Saccharomyces cerevisiae S288C: one gene and its partner. The gene in region 1 interacts genetically with each later gene. Each region holds a gene or a part of one and is shown in the gene's direction. Other genes may lie near its edges.

What was found. A genetic interaction does not mean that the proteins touch.
Region 2: mutations in PEX21 (region 1) and PTP3 together harm fitness more than expected from each alone (negative genetic interaction), as found in Saccharomyces cerevisiae (2 studies listed by BioGRID).

Annotation. Positions count from the first base shown.
Region 1 is NC_001139.9:966,335-971,738, reverse strand, and holds PEX21 (Pex21p), read left to right. Parts: upstream 1-1,685; coding exon 1,686-2,552; downstream 2,553-5,404. Other genes in the region: PFK1 (6-phosphofructokinase subunit alpha), read left to right, coding at 1-968; KEL2 (Kel2p), read left to right, coding at 3,052-5,404. UniProt on the Saccharomyces cerevisiae protein: Receptor that mediates peroxisomal import of proteins containing a C-terminal PTS2-type peroxisomal targeting signal via its interaction with PEX7.
Region 2 is NC_001137.3:307,913-312,891, reverse strand, and holds PTP3 (tyrosine protein phosphatase PTP3), read left to right. Parts: upstream 1-1,692; coding exon 1,693-4,479; downstream 4,480-4,979. Other genes in the region: YER076C (uncharacterized protein), read left to right, coding at 1-302; YOS1 (Yos1p), read right to left, coding at 4,769-4,824, 4,936-4,979. UniProt on the Saccharomyces cerevisiae protein: Major phosphatase responsible for tyrosine dephosphorylation of MAP kinases FUS3 and HOG1 to inactivate their activity; it also has important roles, along with MSG5, in the inactivation of FUS3 following pheromone stimulation.

The DNA of each region.
Region 1 (5,404 bases):
CTGTTGCTTCAGAAGATTTGGGTACCATTGCTTACTACTTCCAAAAGAACAAGCTAGACGGTTTGATTATTCTTGGTGGTTTTGAAGGTTTCAGGTCCTTGAAGCAATTGCGTGACGGTAGAACCCAACACCCAATCTTTAACATTCCAATGTGTTTGATTCCAGCCACTGTTTCTAACAACGTTCCAGGTACTGAATACTCACTTGGTGTTGATACCTGTTTGAACGCATTAGTCAATTACACTGATGACATCAAACAGAGTGCTTCTGCGACAAGAAGAAGAGTCTTCGTCTGTGAAGTCCAAGGTGGTCACTCTGGTTACATCGCTTCTTTCACTGGTTTAATCACTGGTGCTGTTTCAGTGTACACTCCAGAAAAGAAGATCGACTTAGCTTCTATCAGAGAAGATATAACTCTATTAAAAGAGAACTTTCGTCACGACAAAGGTGAAAACAGAAACGGTAAGCTATTGGTTAGAAACGAACAAGCTTCTAGCGTATATAGCACTCAATTGTTGGCTGACATCATCTCTGAAGCAAGCAAGGGTAAGTTTGGTGTTAGAACTGCTATCCCAGGCCATGTTCAACAAGGTGGTGTTCCATCTTCTAAAGACCGTGTCACCGCTTCCAGATTTGCTGTCAAATGTATCAAGTTTATCGAACAATGGAACAAGAAAAATGAAGCTTCTCCAAACACTGACGCTAAGGTTTTGAGATTCAAGTTCGATACTCACGGTGAAAAGGTACCAACTGTTGAGCACGAAGATGACTCTGCTGCTGTTATCTGTGTTAATGGTTCTCACGTTTCCTTCAAGCCAATTGCTAACCTTTGGGAAAACGAAACCAACGTTGAATTAAGAAAGGGTTTTGAAGTTCACTGGGCTGAATACAACAAGATTGGTGACATCCTGTCCGGTAGATTAAAGTTGAGAGCTGAGGTAGCCGCTTTAGCCGCTGAAAACAAATGAATGATTGCAATGAAAAGTTTAAGTTAAGCAAAAGGAGGTAAAAATGGCATGCACTTTAATTTTTATACAATCGTTTTTTTGTCATAAGACTTATTTATGTATCTGTTGTTTTTCTTTTTCTATCCTCTATTTTTGTCTATTTGTCTTTGTTTTACTCTTTTTCATTATTATTTCTTTATATAATTTTTGTACGATATGATACACATAACAATGAGCAATGAACATATTTCTAATCCTAACCATTAGATATACTTTTCAACTGAGGAATAATGGCGCCTTGATTAAACTAAGCTATGGAATTTGCATTATTCAAGTTTTAGGGTGTGCTTAATCTGCGTTGACAATGGTTCACGAAGACGACATCGGCAACTTTGCTGTACTACAAATTGCTCTGAATGTGAGGCTGATCCACATCATAGTGAGGCGCGCTACCTTAATTGTAGTCGTATTGTCATCGGTCTACGAATACCGTTTGGTTTATTTGTCGGCCTTTTTTCTTTCCGTTTCTTTTTATCTTTCCGCTGGAAAAATGGAAACTAGTGCCGATAATCGGAGATGGGATGACTAAATATTTCTTTAAGGCATTGGCAATGTTCAAACCTCTGATAGAACGGCAGATATATATTTAAGAGAATATAGTCAAGGTTGACGCCGCATACTTTGGTTTTGTTTCAAAAAGAAACAGGTGAAAAATTATAAAGACCAAACTAGAATACCATGCCCAGTGTCTGCCATACAAGCCCGATAGAAAAGATTATCCAACAAGGGCATCGCATACAGAATGATTCCTTAATACCGTCAAAACGCACCAAGCTGGCCCATACGGAATTAACAGCACACTATGCCACTGAAGACTCGCATGTGGAAAAACACTTTTTGCATAATGGTAGTAATTTTGACGGCATTGACAATGTAAGGTATCAAAATCAACCCTCTCCATTAACCTTCATTACTCCAAACAACACTGTAGATTCCAGTGATTGGGTTCCGCAGTTCTCGTCTATGAAGATTGACGATTCACTAGAGTTTAGCTCAGAATATAAAAGGTTGTATTCCAATTACGAGTCACAGCAGCGCCTGAATTCAAGCAGACAACACTTACCTTTTAAGAATTGTATGATAAGGAAGACAAGTTGCACTTACCCACCTCAAAAGACGCTTCGACAGCAACGCCAAGGAAACCGGGACAACCCAACGGATGCGTTTCAATTCGACGCGGAGTTCCAAGTTTTGGAGAGAGAAATTCAAAAAGAGCGGTACGAGCCCATAACACGTCGGGACGAGAAATGGTTCGACCAAGATCAGTCGGAACTGCAAAGGATTGCCACAGATATAGTAAAATGCTGTACTCCACCGCCTTCGTCTGCATCCTCCTCTTCTACTCTTTCCTCCTCTGTCGAATCAAAACTATCTGAGTCGAAGTTTATTCAGTTAATGAGAAACATTAGTAGCGGTGACGTGACTTTAAAGAAAAATGCAGATGGAAATTCCGCAAGCGAGTTATTCTCATCCAACAACGGGGAACTGGTCGGAAACAGGCACATTTTCGTCAAGGACGAAATTCACAAAGACATACTTGATTGATATAGGCAGTTTCTACAATTGTACCTCTTGTAACTACTACATACGTTGATATATGTTTACAGATAGCTAAGAATATCAAAATCATGAATATGTGCCCTTATGTGTTCTCTGCGCTGAGGAGTATCGCAGCTTCACTCCTGCAGATGCATGCCCTACCTACTGTCATGCCCATCTCTCTCGTTTAAAACTTACTACACCTTTTTTGTGCATGGATTGTGCTGATGTAAGCTGCACGAAATGACACGCTTGTGAATTTTTTCTTCTCTTGGGAGAAACTGTGAAGAAAAAAAAAAAAGCTTCGCAAAACCCGAATTAGTCTCGAAGGAAGTAATTACCTTGTGAAAGGGTCTTTTGGGATACTAATTTATTATGAAGTTTGGTTTTGGTGTTGCTTGCTCTTTTTTTTTTCAATTTTGAAATGCGTACACGTGAATTTTAGCATAGGTTGTAACAAAAAAAAAAAATGATTTGGATGAGGCAGGCAACCCCTTAAGTAGCTATGGTACCTTTCAAGCTGACAAATAAGGTACCTACGGACACGGGACCTTCTCTGATTTCAGCGCAAAGTGTACCCAGACCAATAGTTTTTATGGATAATCGAAACAATACGCGAATAGTAACACCTACGCTACCTCCAAACCAGCATAGAGGCATATCAGGCGCGTCGACTGCTCTTCCCTGGTCTCCAGAGAGTAAGAATACAGGGAAGTATATTTGGAATAGGGTCAAACTAAAAAACTCTCCGTTTCCCCGTTATCGACACTCTTCCTCATTTATTGTTACGAATGATAACAGGATTTTTGTGACCGGTGGACTTCACGATCAATCGGTATATGGGGATGTCTGGCAAATAGCCGCTAACGCGGATGGTACGAGCTTTACTTCCAAGAGAATCGATATTGATCAAAATACACCTCCCCCAAGAGTGGGACATGCCTCTACTATATGCGGTAATGCCTATGTTGTGTTTGGTGGCGACACACACAAGCTGAATAAGAACGGACTGTTGGATGATGATCTTTATCTTTTCAATATTAATTCTTATAAGTGGACCATACCACAACCTATCGGCCGTAGGCCGTTGGGCAGGTACGGCCATAAAATTTCTATAATTGCTAGCAACCCTATGCAAACTAAACTATATCTTTTTGGCGGACAAGTAGATGAAACTTATTTTAACGATCTGGTCGTCTTTGATTTATCATCATTCCGTAGGCCGAATTCTCATTGGGAATTTTTAGAGCCTGTCGGCGACCTGCCTCCTCCTTTAACAAATCATACAATGGTGGCATATGACAACAAATTATGGGTATTCGGCGGGGAAACTCCCAAGACAATAAGCAATGATACATACCGCTACGATCCAGCACAAAGTGAGTGGTCTAAAGTTAAAACCACAGGAGAAAAGCCTCCGCCAATACAAGAGCATGCTAGTGTGGTGTATAAACATTTAATGTGTGTGTTAGGCGGTAAGGATACCCATAACGCATATTCCAACGATGTCTATTTTTTAAACTTATTATCGCTAAAATGGTATAAGCTTCCCCGTATGAAGGAGGGCATACCTCAAGAACGCTCTGGACATTCTTTAACCTTAATGAAGAATGAGAAGCTTCTTATCATGGGTGGCGACAAAACTGACTATGCCAGCCCAAATATTCACGATCTACAAACTTCAGAAACTGACCAAGGCGAAGGAACTTTACTGTATACCTTAGATTTATCATCTTTGAATGAGCTATGCCCAGGAATAATGTGTGAATCACTACATGCAGGAGAAAGTTTTTCTAATAGTCTTTCCGGGGGCTTTACACCCTCTAAGTCTACCGAAAGTGAAAATCAAGAGATAATAAACATTCTTACACCAAGATTGCCTGATAGCAAAGTTTTGAGTTATAATGATATTGATGAAGGGGCTGGAAGTTACTCCAGCGCTTTGGATGATAAGGCATTTGAACGAAAATCAGATAGGGAGGAAAAGAAACCCCAATCTTCCAAAGTTGATTCAAGCATCAATAAGGAAAGTCCGGGAACTGGTATCAAAGTATCTAAAAAAAATTTCCCTGTTCTACGAGGACTAACAGTGGATTCAGAAGAGTATGGCTCTTCTTCATATAAGGACACATCATGTCAAAAAGGAATTCCCAAAAATCTTTTTGATGATTTAAACCTGAACCTACAAACATTACGTCTCGAAGCTCAACAAAAGGAACTTGAAACTGCTAGACATATTTCACAATTAGAAAAGGAAGTCCAGAGACTCATGGTAATAAAAGAAGCTTCAAAAGATTCAAATTTTCAAACAGCACGGCTTAAAAATCTAGAAATTCAGAAAACCTTTTTAGAATCTAGAATTAATGATTTAAAAAATTTATTGATGGTCAAATTATCTCAGGCAAGTAAACTCTGTGACCAAATTACGATTCAAAATAATGGACTTAAAACATGCTCCGAACATGTCACTATTAAAAGGGATATCATCGATCTTGAGAATAAATGTGATGTTTTGAAGCGCCAGAACGAAATACTTGTAAATAATATGCAAAAAATAACCCCCGAACTTCATACCTATTTGAACGAATCGTCCTGCTATCTGGGTAAATTATTAAAAAGCTATCCTACCAGTGCACGGCCACCTTCAAGTGAGAAAGATAATCAAATATATGAGAAAGATTCGCTGAACAAAATAGAAAAAGTAATAAATGAAATGCACGAAACCGTGCGTGCTAAAGAGAAATTGCACCTTGAAACTCAGAAGCTTAATGATGAAAGAGATTCTTTGCGGGCTAATTTACTCGACAATAACAACAAGTTGGATGCGCTAAGAAAACTCTCTGATGGAAGCTCGAAGT
Region 2 (4,979 bases), on another chromosome or scaffold:
TTTTTGATGGGCAAGAGGGTTGGAGTTTGTTTGTCAAGACGTGGTCAACAAACAGTAGCTGTGATATTACAGCCTCTGAAGGAAATTTAACATGTGCAGTTCGTGTTTCAGTATCCAGTATGCACAATCACGGCAAGACAGCGTTTTGTGTTACCTATAGCCACGGTGATTCTTGGCGTGCCGAGCTGAGAGTAGTTGCCAATGATGCTTGGTCCCATTATTATCCCTGGAGTATTGACTGTCCAGAAGTTGATAAAAATAATATGGCTATTAATGATTGTTTTGATCAGGCGCAAGGTTAACGATTGAGTTTCCCATAATTTTTACCGCTCTCCTCTTGGTTGAGACGTATGCGAAAAGCTAATTCGACGTTTTTTATTGTAAAATCGTACACTTTTGCAGGCAATTCTACATATTATATAAGATTTAAGTCGGATCTTGAGACTTTTGGTGAACTTTGAGATGATTGTTGGGATTCCGTTGTTGATAAAGGCAATAATATTATGTATACAGAATATACTAGAAGTTCTCCTCGAGGATATTAGAATCCTTACAATGGACTTGATATTTCTACATAAAAATATTACGATTATTCCTCATTCTGTTTTTTATGTTTCACCATCCAACAGATCTAAACTCATTTCTTCAGGTATTTATAACTTTGATTGGTTCATCTTAGGCATACTCAATCTTACCTTTTTCATGCGTGTAGGAACGAAACTCTAAAATCATCTACGGGTTAAAATTGCTTATACGGAGGTACCCCGTGTTGAGATCCAACACATACAGAAATTCTGGGCACATGGCGCAGTTGGTAGCGCGCTTCCCTTGCAAGGAAGAGGTCATCGGTTCGATTCCGGTTGCGTCCAATGAAATCTTTTTGTACCAAGTTTTTCTCTGTTTTTGTTAGACCGCAAGCGAGTTTACCGAATCACAGCCCACCTCACCCCACAGGAAAACAGCAGCAGAACGGCTGCTAAATGACTATTAACAATAAGAGGTTTTCGGCTACTTTCGCTGCTTGCTCGTTAAATCCGTTCACTGGTAGCGAACCTCAACGACAGATGTCTATGTATGCTATACGTAAAATCACCCCCATTATGGCCATTTTATGTGTCGCCACTGCTACACACCCACCGATGTGTATGTACTTCTAATATCTAACCAGACCAGACCCCACGCTTTTTCTGGCATCTCCTGCTGCCATCTTGGTGTAGTGAGCGGAAACTTTAAACATTAAACAGAATGGCGGCGACTTTGAGATTTGGGCCCGCTGACGCTGAACGAAAAGAAAAGACCTTCATGAAAAAAATATTTTGCGGCAAAACGTCATCGGAGAACACAGCGCAGCGAGAATGTGGTGTTAGCCAGACCCAACAGTTTGCGCACCTGGCATGGATGGATGCAGATAGGTAGTGTTCGATGCGCAAGAGTCCAATCTTCTCCTCGCCATTTGCACCGGCGGATGTAACACTATATTTTCATTGACCTTAGCGGTTTTCTTTCTTTGACATGTAACATCATCACTTCAAGCACAAACAAAGAACTGTATACACAGACCACAAACTTGCATATTATTCTAACATCGGTGTTATAATAGCGTAGGTGCTCTTATCACTGCAAAGTTCATAGAAAATCCGTATTGTATCTCCCTTCTCCATCAGCAACACAGATCTACTTATCATATAGAACATGAAGGACAGTGTAGACTGCCCAAGCATTCTACCCACCGACCGCACTTCAGTGCTTTCCGAGACTAGCACTTTGGTCGGATCGAGTTCGCATGTATATTCGAGGCATGCTCCTATGAACAGTTATCATAACAGCATGAACAGCAACATATACCACAGCCCCAAAGCCAGTAGCCCTTTGGTGAGCTATAAGACATCTTCGCCGGTGTTATTGAAGAGGGCGACCGCTCCTGTCCTGCCAAGCTTCAAGCCCAAGGAACAGCGATATAATAAGCCGCAGGGTTGTTCGCTAATTACTGCTGTAGAACTGGGCAAGATTATTGAAACCTTACCAGATGAAAAGGTGCTCTTACTTGATGTTAGGCCGTTTACCGAACATGCCAAATCCATTATCACAAACTCCATTCATGTATGTTTGCCTTCCACGCTGCTGAGGAGGAAAAATTTCACCTTTTCCAAACTCTTGGACAACTTAACTCCTAGCGAGCAAAGCGTGTTGAAATCTAAACTGGCCATCGATAACCTTCGGATTATCATTTATGATAGCACCGCAAATCAAACGGAAAGTTCTGTTTCTTTACCTTGTTATGGAATAGCGTCCAAGCTAATAGAGTTTGATACTAATGTTAAAAAAACCGTGTCTATACTAATGTGTGGTTTTCCTCAATTCAAAATTCTATTTCCAGACCATATAAACACCAACACATTTAACTCAGATTGCATTAGTTCGGCTGAACCTAAAAGCCCCAAGACAAACCTTATGAACAGTCTACACAACACAGCGCCGCATATGACGGCGACAACACCACTATCGTCTCCGCAAATGAACCTTAAGTTGAAAGTTCCTGACGATAGTAGGTCAGATCATTCAAACTTTTCCAGTTCTCCCTCTCCGCGTAACGTCCTATCAGATTCTCCCATGTCTTCTTCTTCCCCCATATCTGCCTTATTTAAGTTCCAGCTGCCTGCACCACAAACAAACATAAACCAAATGTTCAAATTTTCGCAAAATGAAGAAATAATGGGTTTAGAGACGTATTTGAGTGCAGTCAACATCAAAGAAGAACATGAAAGATGGTATAATAACGATTCTGCCAAAAAATCTTTACAAAACTTCCAATTCCCAAAGAACCAAAATTCTCTAGAAAAGGACACTAATAAAGACAAACTAGGGTTTCAGATCAGATACGAAAACCTGAGCAAAAATTACGAAAAGGAGGTCATTGACTCCGTTATACCTGAATGGTTCCAGCATCTGATGTCAATACCCAAGATCGAGTTGGTTTCTCAGTTTCAAAAATTAGATTTTTTGGAAAAAAGGCGCTTGAACCATTCTGTCTCTTTCAGGAAGAAGGAAAACTCGTTTATACTTGAAAAGCCATCATCATATCCTGAACAGTTAACATCAACTTCTTCTTCAACAATCATGCCTCCAAAATTTCCTGACGTGAACAAAGTACAAAAGAGGTCGCATTCTCAGCCAATCTTCACTCAATACAGTAAATATAAATCGATGCTCAGCCTTGAATCAGATTCCGATTCGGAGTCAGATGACGTTATAATATCATCAGGCGTTGAATTAGGAGCCAAGAACAGGTACAAGGATATTTTTCCCTACGAGCATTCGAGAGTGATTCTAAAAAAAGGTTTGCAATCATCAAAAGGTATCAAGCATTCACATTCTACTTCCGATGGTGGCATCCTCGACAATTATATCAACGCAAACTATTTGTCTCTGCCAAGGTTTTCTGTAGAGCAAAATTCGTCATTTCAAACAACTACAACCACAACAAGAAGAGTGCGCTATATAGCGACGCAAGCTCCAATGCCCTCCACTGTACATGACTTTTATACATGCATATTGAATAATGGCGTTCCGTTGGTTCTCTCATTGACAAATGATTTCGAAAATGGCATTGAGAAATGTTATCGATATTGGCAAGAAGGTAATTATAACGGTATTCACGTTAAATTGTTAGAAAAAAAAATATTAAAGATGCCTAGCACTACTAGCATGAGGAAAAATACTATGGGAACACAAAATAGTAGTTTATATTCAGCTGGTGTTCAGGGAAATAGTAGTAACTATAGTACTGATAATGATAATGATAATGACAACAATAATAATAACAATAACAATAGTAATATTGCTGTTACTGCTGCTGCTTGTGATGATGATGATGATGATGATGATGACGCAATTCTCATAAGAAAAATTCTGCTAACATATCATGATCAAGAGAAACCTTATGAATTGTTACAGATTCAGGTGAAAAATTGGCCTGATTTGGGCACTTTACTCAATCCTATCTCAATCTTACAAGCAATCAATGTCAAGAATCACATAATAGATACACTATTTGCCAGAAATTACTATCAAAACGACCAACTTCCTACCATTTTGGTTCATTGTTCCGCAGGTTGTGGAAGGACTGGTACTTTGTGTACCATTGATTCCATTCTATCCAATTTCGAAATGTTTGAAATGTTGCAGAAAGAGTTTGTTAAATTAAAATACCCGGCAAAGTTATTCGATCCAATTTCATGGACAATTAATATTTTTAGAAAGCAACGAATATCCATGGTCCAGAACATTAATCAATTTATTTTCATTTATGACTGCTTGCTATTTTACTTTAGATTACGTCTTGATGACATAACAGAGAGAACGGATGGTGATGGAAGTAACAAGGACAATATATCATTAAGTGCATTAATTGAACAAATCGAAAAATTAGAGATCTTGCAGACATTCGTGGATGATAAGTTGAAAGAATTGCCACAATAGTTAGGCTAATATGAATGTATTTGATCTCTATTTTATTAATACGAAACCCCTTAATAATTGATATTTTCGATACATATTTGGCAGTAGTTAGCTACGTAACAGAGTATTATTTTCATTTCAAGTTATGCATGAACTCTCTAATTTCACATACCATGCTACCACTACCCTTGGAGGTTTTGTTCATATCTTTTATAATAAAGCTAAAACCGAAAAGGTGAAGGGAAAAAAAAACTATTAGAGCCTGTTTCTTGTATATAGTAGTATGTAATATTTGCTTCGTACGCTTAGTTCATCCCAATAGTAATTCATAAACAATCACCAGTATATTTATTCCAATTAATGGTACTACAAGAATAATATACGAAACGTTAGTAAAATTTTCTCACAAAAGGTGAAAAAGAACGGGAAAAAACTGATGAAATGTAACTTTAACCGTTCTCCATCAACATAACATACTCCTCAGTAATGTCTGTACGGCGCCAATCAATTGAACAACCTTG